Linked DNA regions of Macaca fascicularis. The protein of the gene in region 1 purifies or fractionates together with the protein of each later gene. This does not show direct contact. Links are inferred from orthologs where the notes say so. Each region holds a gene or a part of one and is shown on either strand. Other genes may lie near its edges.

Region 1 (4,416 bases):
TCAATGTCAGTGTCCAGAATGAACCGGAGGTGGGCCATACGCTCTAAGAAGACTACTTGGGAGGCCGGGCACGGTGGCTCAGGCCTGTAATCCCAGCACTCTGGGAGGCCGAGGCAGGTGGATCACCTGAGGTCAGGAGTTTGAGACCAGTCTGGCCAACATGGTAAAACCCCATCTCTACTAAAAACACAAAAATTAGCCGGGTGTCATGGCGGGCACCTGTAATCCCAGTTACTCAGGAGGCTGAGGTAGGAAAATGGCTTGAACCTGGGAGACGGAAGTTGCAGTGAGCCGAGATCGCGCCATTGCACTCCACGCTGGGTGACAAGAGCGAAACTCCGTCCCAAAAATAAAACCAAAAAAACAACAAAACAAAACAAAACAAAAAAAAAAAAACTACTTGGAAGCTTCCTGCAGTAGTCCAGACCAGAAATGGTGGTAGTCTGGGAAAACGAGGTAAAAATGAAGATGGGGAAAGGTGAACAGACAGGAGATTTTTGGGTTAAAATGACAGAACCCATGTGACCAATCCAGCTAGTCCAGTGGGTGATTTGGATCTAGTTTAAAGCAATCATTCTCCCAAACCAGAGTCTTTAGACCCTAATTAAACACCTTTATGGGGGGCAGGAGCAGAACTGACAAATTTTACCAAATTTTACCTTTGTATAGGGCAGAGGACATGGATAGGGCAGAGGAGAGATATCAAGGGTTACCCACCCTCTCCCTCCCCCAGATTCCCAGCCTATATAACTGGGTGGATGACGGTATCATTCAGTGAGATATTCCTATCTCACTGAATAGGTACAGACAGTCCCTGACTTACAATGGTTTCACTTAACATTTTTCAACTTTACAATAGTGCAAAGGTGAGAGGCATTCAACAGAAACTGTACTTTGAGGACCTACACAACCATTCTGTTTTTCACTATCAGCACAGCAATAAATGACATGAGGTATTCAACATTTTATAATATAGGTTTATGTTAGATGATTTTGCCCTACTGTAGGCTAATGTAAGTGTTCTGGGGATGTGTAAGGAAGGTAGGCTAGGCTAAGCTATGATATTCGGTAGATGGGGTGTATTAAATGCATTTTCAACTTCTGATACTTTCAGCTTACAATGGGTTTATCAGAAGGTAACTCCATCGTTAAGTTGAGGAGCATCTACACAAGTTAGGTGGGCTAAGATCCTAGGTTCGGAATTGAAAAAGCTGAGTTTCAGGGGCCTTGATTTTAATAAGCTGTTGGACGTATTAACCTGAAACTTAAAGGGCAAGTCTGGACTGGGGGTAAAATATTGAGAATCACTGCCATATAGACAGTTGTAGCTATGGGCTTAGAAGAGATTGCCTGAGCAGAAATACCAGCAATGAATAACAAAGTAGAGGAGAGTGAGTCCGCAAAAGAGAGGTCTGAGTCAAACCAGGAGCTAGGCATCCAAGAACACATGTAAAGAGTGCTTTCCATCGAGGAGGCCATGGTCAACAACGTCAAAAGCTGCTGAGACATCAAATAAGGATTGAAAAGTTCAATTAAGTTGAGGGACAGGTTTCAGTGGGATGATGGGACAGAAATCAGACTGCAGTAGGTTGAGAGGTGAGTAGGTGGTAAGCAAATGGAAGACAATAAATATAGACAACTCTATCAAATTTCCTGCTGTAAAGTGGGAAGGGAAAAGGTGACAGCTGTGGGGGTGGGGGAAGGGTTTGTTTTAAGATAAAGAAGCTTGATTAAGAAGGAGCAGATGAATATACAGATAGGGTCTGAAGTATTGGTAGAAGGACTAGCCTTAAAAGGAGAGACCACGGGGAAAAGGAAGAGAAAGAAGCCAAACTAAATGACCTTTAAGATCCCTTCTGACTCTAGAATCTCATGACCTACAAGTCCCTTTAGATAGGGCTTTTGCATATATGCATAAATCTATGCAAACTTATTCAAAAATTCTGGTACAAAGAGATCAGTCAAGCACATCTTTCGCCCCCAGTGACGCAGTTAATGTCCTCAGGTTTATAACCAGTGTAATCTCTGGGCAGGACTCATCCCTTTAGAGCTTTTAGCTCAAGGCAGACTGCAATACAGCACTCAAGCAGCTCTATCTCTCCTCGCCAAATCCATCCTACCCAGCAACCCTAAAGCCTAAAGGAGGAAGTAAATTTAAAACCCTGAAACTACAGCATATCCTGCTGCATTGAAAGCGACTGTCATCCATAAAAACAAAACATGACAGCCCAAATCCATCCTCACTCCAAGCTAAAGCAAATTCCCGCCTGACCTGACAGTTGACAGGTCCCCCAGATGGCAGGGCTCTAACACTAAAAGTCATTGGCACCCCCTCCTCTTTCCCAACGACCTTTAATTTGTGAAGAGCCAGACATGGGTTCCTGATGATCCTTCCTACACCGCTCGCCCCGAATGCAGTAGACGTGCTCCCGGCACTTACTCCGGCGCCCCCTAATAAGCCCTCGCAAGGGGGTGCGGAAAGACCCCCAGAGCCAGTCAGAAGGGGCTTCGGCGACCGCGACCCTGCGGCTATGTGGAGGACAAGGGAAACAAGCCCCAAGGAATGGGAGAGGACGACCTGAGGCGCAGCAGACGCGGGTAACGAGGGGGTCATCTCCCCTCGAGGGGGGTGGAGTTGTTGAGGAGGGCTAATCCTCTGCCACCGCTCCCCTGCTACCCTCGAGTCCCGCTCTGGCCTCGCGCCCCATTGCTCGGATTCACTCCCACTCCCCTGGGGCCTCCTGGACCCCGGAGTGCCCGCGAGCCCGGCGCCCCTGCCTCGAGCCTGGGCTCCCAGACCGGCACTCACCCGGCCCGCCATCTTCGCCGACACGTCCGGCTAGGCGGCTGCAGCTCTGCGTTCGGCAAAGCCCGCCCCCGCCGTGCGCGCGCCCCCGCCGCCCGCCCTCGCGCAGGCGTGCAGCCGCGGTGAGGACGCGCGCGTCCCCGGAGTCCTCGCTCCACAGGGCGCGCGCGCGGGGCGGGCAGAGCGGCGGCGCCATTTTGGCTGGAGCTGCTAGGCGGTGGCAGGTGACCCTGTTTCCAGCGTGCGCGTCCGTCCGCGGCTCGCTGGAGGGCTGTTCCTGCGAGTCTCGTGTCCCCTGGCCGTTCGCGCCGGAATTTGTCGCAAGGGCTTTAATGCTTCGGATCACTTATCCCTTTGCCAGCAGTTGTTCGCCCTCGAATGTCCATTTTGCTCTGTGCTTCCAGACTCTCTGTTTTTTGTTTTTTTTTTTTTAGACGGAGTCTCGCTGTGTCGCCCAGGCTGGAGTGCAGTGGCGCCATCTCGGCTCACTGCAAGCTCCGCCTCCCGGGTTCACGCCATTCTCCTGCCTCAGCCTCCCAAGTAGCTGGGACCACAGGGGCCCGCCACCACGCCTGGCTAATTTTTTGTATTTTTTAGTGGAGACGGGGTTTCACCGTGTTAGCCAGGATGGTCTCGATTTCCTGACCTCGTGATCCGCCCGCCTTGGCCTCCCCACGTGCTGGGATTACAGGCGTGAGCCACCGCGCCTGGCCTCCAGACTCTCTTAAACATGGCCTTGCGGTTGAGAAAACCCGGCGCATTCCCTGGCTTCCCCCAGAAAATATCAGCTCCGAGGAGTTGGTTCTGAGTTCAAATTCTCCATGAATTTTCTCACTTTTCTTTGTAGGCGTACTTGTTTTCCTAGTTGCTGGAATTGTCATCGTTGGCAGTTTTATTTATGTGTAGCCTGGAAAACTCAGTATTTTCTTCAGATTTGAAAGCGAATTGTGATTATTTTTATTAAATATTTGTCTTTAATAAAGGCAACTTGTATCTTCGACAACCTTTTCATTCCCCAGCGTTGTTTCATCTTAGACACTATACATGGTAGAATCTGAATAAAATATAACCTAAATTTCAGCCTTGTTGAACCTCGATGTTTTCACCATACCATTCCTCCACTGGAATCTCAGAATATCTAACTTCAAGCAGCCTGGGAGGAGACAGATTCTGCCGAATGGATTCCCTTTTGCTTTTATTTACCCCACTATCATCTCTCTCTTCATATTTGCGCAAGACAATAGGGAATGATAGGATTTGTTCTCTTTCATTTCTCACAGTTAATTAGAATAAATCGGGTTTTTTTTCCCCCCAGCATGAGAAAAGAAGGGAAATAACTAGAAGAGCTGAGCATGCATAGTGATTTAAATTTGAGAACTAATAAAATCAGACAGTGACCTGAAGATGAACTAGGGACAGAAGAAAAAGTTAACGCCAGCCAGGCGGGGTGGCTCATGCCTGTAATCCAAGCACTTTGGGAGGCCAAGGCGGGCGGATCACCTAAGGTCAGGAGTTCCAGACCAGCCTGGCCAATATGGTGAAACCCCATCTCTACTAAAAATACAGAAATTAGCCGGCTGTGGTGGCGGGTGCCTGTAATCCCAGCTACT
Region 2 (4,239 bases), on another chromosome or scaffold:
AGGAGTTCGAGACCAGCCTGGACAACATGGCCAAACCCCATCACTACAAAAAATATAAAAATTAGCTGGGCGTGGTGGCGCACGCCTGTAGTCCCAACTACTTGGAGGCTGAGGTAGGAGGATCTCTTGAGCCCAGGAGAAGGAGGTTGCAGTGAGCGGAGATCATGCCACTGCACTCCAACCTGTGTGACAGAGCGAAACCCTGTCTCAAAAAAAATAAAATAAAATAAAGAAAAAACCCTAAGGCCATATACAGGCTCATTCACTTGGGGTCTCCTTTCACCCAGGCAAGCAGCTTTCCGTCTTTGCATTTTCCAAAGACTGCAAAGCAGGCTGGGGTGGGGTGGAGAACACAGGAAACAGCCAGTTCCCCTTCACTTCTCACCATCTTGATCTCCTCCCAAACCAAAATCCTATGTCTTTCCTTTTAACATACGCTTACAGAAATGCAGTCTTCTGTAGGAAAATTGAGGTCATGCATTCCAAAGTATTTAAGGGTATGATTTTTAAATTTTAGGAATCTAGTTCTCCAAGAAATCCCGGCTTGGGATATAGATGAACGAGCTATTTGGGAGAGATTTCGATGAGAATGAATTTTAGAGAAGTAGCGAGGTGAGGAGAGAGTCAGCTTAGCGTTTGGCTTTTGCAGTCAAACTTCAGCAAGGCGAAGTAACCTCGCTGGTCTTAATTTTCTCATCGGTAATAGGGAAAATAATAATGCTAACATTGATGAGTTACTTTACTTCAATATTTAAAAAACCGGCTCTCCGTTATCTATTCTAATGATAAAAATGTAGATAGAGCATCGTCCCTTGCTGTGAAAAATCTTATGAACAAGTGAATTGCGGTGAGGATTCACACATAATATGTGCTTAATAAACATTATTATTTTATTGTTTAGATTAGAAGAGGGGTGGAGGGAGAAATGAAAGCGGTTTGGAAACCCCAAATACTACCAAAACCCTGGGGATGGAAGTAGAGAGGAATTTCGGGTTACGATTTGGTTCCTGGTCTGAGTTTCAACGTTGAATACTCCCATATTTGGGCCTGAATTCTCAAAACAGAATAGGATGTAAGGGCTGAGATCATCTGGTACAGTTTTATGCAAATCGAAAATTCTTGCCTCTTGTCAATGTGCCCTGGCGAGAAACAACACCTCCACCCAAGCTCATCCAATCTCAGCCCCAACTAGGTGACGTCATCTCTCCGCCCCGCAACCCCCAAGCCCCGGGCAGTCCTGTCTCTAAGATACAGTCCCAGCCCCAGTCCCAGCGGCGCCTGCGCACTTTGAACAGGGGCGGGGAGGACGCGTGCGCGCTGCGTGGGGGCGGGACTAGTGCGCACGCAGCCTTAGCTTCTTCCCCGCCCTTGGTCTTCCCAGTTTCTCCGTCAGCCTGCGGGTCCCGGCTGGCGGCTGCTTCCGGTAGGAGAGTGGTGTAGGGCGAGCAGGTCTCAGCTCCTCGTCATGTCATACGGTCCCTTAGATATGTACCGGAACCTGGGGCCCTCAGGGCCCCAGCTCCGGGACTTCAGCAGCATCATCCAGACGTGCAGCGGCAACATCCAGCGGATCAGCCAAGCCAGTGAGCCGGGGTACCGAGCTGGGGGGCGGGAGCTGTCCCCGGGACAGGCCTGGGTGAGACTGCCGGGTCGCGGAGCCCGGCTGGGACTACGGCCGAGGCCACACCTGGGGCTGTCTCGGGCTGTCCACCCTGGGGGCGGTGGGCTTGCCTCCCCCAGTCTGTCAGGCCCGGGCTGCCCGAGGGTCCCCGGCCCCAGCTGAAGCTTGAGCTGCTTCTCTGGAGTTCTGCCCCCACGGTGCTGGGACCAAAACAGCCCGAGGGTGGGAAGGGGAGTGTGTGTCATCTCGAGAGCTGTGAGTGCGTTGACTTGGCGCAGTGGTCAGCCGAGTTTCTCCTGTCATCCACCTTCCTCCCCACCCACCTCGCTTTCCTCTTAGGCCAGTTTGGATGGGGTTGTTTACTGATTTAGGCTTTAGGTTTACATTCTGCTCAGCCCCTGGCTCCTCGGAAATCAGCAACTTTCAATTAAGGGAAGTGGAGAGTGCATGTGTTTGGATGACTTCATACACAGTTCTTCCTGTAATGAATTCGGAAATCAGACACAATGACTGGTATTTGAGAGGTGGGATGACTTCTGTTTTAATAAAGATAATTCACCAGCAACATTTCAACTTACATTATTTTGTCTTTTGTAACAAAGCATTGGGGTGTATTTTTGGATTTCAGGCAGATGAGGCTTTTGTTTTCCTTCCCTACTTAGCTGCTCTTGAACAAATCTGGTACACAGGGAAGCTAAGAGACTTAGCCACAACCACAGAGCAAGTAATGCATGGTAGAGTTGTTGGTGGAATTCAGAATGGTATTGCTTGTCTTAAAACTCCCTCCTCCCCATTAGGGTCTGAGTGAAACTATAGCTGAATGAGTCAAATACAGGGTGTTTCTTGGGCTTGAAAATCATCTTGGAGCCTTATAAACAGGAGATCAGCAACAGCTTTACTTGGAAAGAATGGTGGTCATCATCCTTATTGTTTATTATTGTGTTTTGTGAGCTTGGTGTACTCTGTTAATAGGTAGAACTAGTTAGTCCTGAATTACAATTCTGTATTTTAAATAATATCACTTTGCTTTAGTTTTTAAACTTTAAAAAATTTTTCTTTTTTGTAGAGATGAAGTCTTGCTGTGTTGGCCAGGCTGGTCTCAAACCCCTGGGCACAAGCACTTCTCCCACCTCAGCCTCCCAAAGTGCTGGGATTACAGGCGTGAGCCACTGTGCCCAGCCTAATTTTTTTAATTTTAAAAAATTAAATATTTTAAATTTGTTTTTAAGAGACGGAGTCTAGCTCTGTCACCCAGGCAGAGTGCAGTGATCTGAGTGAAGTAGAACGATCCTAGCTGGCTATAACTTTGAATTCCTGATCAGCTTGCTGAGTCGCGAGGACTACAAGGATGCATCTACCATGCCAGGCTAATTTTTAAATTTTTTGTAGGGATGGGGTCTCACTATGTTGCCCAGGCTCACTTTGCTTTTAAATCTAAATGTATATTGTAGAATTTGAGAAGTTTCTGATCAAAAGCAGTTGAGACTCTGGAAGTGAAAGGAAGGGTATGTGACCTCTTAAAATCCAGAACTAAAAAAAAATAATATGACCACTGGTTAGAAAGTGTAGTACTTTTTGTACCAGTTTCCTTTTGTGAAGGAGCTGTAATACAGGTTAGATCAGAAAATTCTAGTTCAAGGCTGAAATTTTCTTGTTGAAGCTAAATCTGATTTTAATATCTATTTGCAAAATATTCATTCAACTTGTATTCAATATTATATATATCATATATAATATTATATTTAATATATAATATACACATGAAGATGGATAGATGGATACATGTTGAATGAATATTATATACATGCTGATATATATATATATATATATATAAAACCAGAATACTCCCAAATGTAGATCCGACATACATTTTTAAATTTACATTTAAATTTTTGTTTTGAGACAGGGTCTCACTCTGTCACCCAGGCTGGAGTGCAGTGGCATGATCTCAGCTCACTGCAGCCTCAACTTCCCTGGCTCAAGCAGTCCTCCTGCCTCAGCCCTACAAGTAGCTGGGACTACAGGTGTGCACCACCATGCCCGGCTAATTTTTTTTTTTTTTCTTTTGAGATGGAGTCTTGCTGTGTCGCCCAGGCTGGAGTGCAGTGGCTCAATCTCCGCTCACTGCAAGCCCCGCCTCCTGGGTTCACACCATTCTCCTGCCTCAGCCTCCTGAGTAGCTGGGACTACAGGCGCCCACCACCACGCCCGGCTAATTTTTTGTTTTTTTTTTTTTTTTTTTTTTGAGACGGAGTCTCGCTCTGTCGCCCAGGCTGGAGTGCAGTGGCCGGTTCTCAGCTCACTGCATGCTCCGCCTCCCGGGTTTATGCCATTCTCTTGCCTCAGCCTCCCAAGTAGCTGGGACTACATTCTCCTGCCTCAGCCTCCCAAGTAGCTGGGAGACGGGGTTTCACCGTGTTAGCCAAGATGGTCTCGATCTCCTGACCTCGCGATCCGCCCATCTCAGCCTCCCAAAGTGCTGGGATTACAGGCTTGAGCCACCGCGCCCGGCCAATTTTTTGTATTTTTAGTGGAGACGGGGTTTCACCGTATTAGCCAGGATGGTCTCGATCTCCTGACCTCGTGATTCACCTGCCTTGGCCTCCCAAAGTGCTGGG

The links.
Region 2: the proteins of NSF (region 1) and STX12 purify together in Homo sapiens (co-immunoprecipitation; 4 studies listed by BioGRID and IntAct, with this or other methods). This does not show direct contact. The link is inferred for Macaca fascicularis from reciprocal best matches to the Homo sapiens genes NSF and STX12.

The regions. Positions count from the first base shown.
Region 1 is NC_088390.1:67,180,421-67,184,836, forward strand, and holds the start of NSF (vesicle-fusing ATPase), read right to left. Parts: upstream 2,864-4,416; 5' UTR 2,822-2,863; coding exon 2,810-2,821; intron 1-2,809.
Region 2 is NC_088375.1:207,290,405-207,294,643, reverse strand, and holds the start of STX12 (syntaxin-12), read left to right. Parts: upstream 1-1,352; 5' UTR 1,353-1,465; coding exon 1,466-1,583; intron 1,584-4,239. UniProt on the Homo sapiens protein: SNARE promoting fusion of transport vesicles with target membranes. Together with SNARE STX6, promotes movement of vesicles from endosomes to the cell membrane, and may therefore function in the endocytic recycling pathway.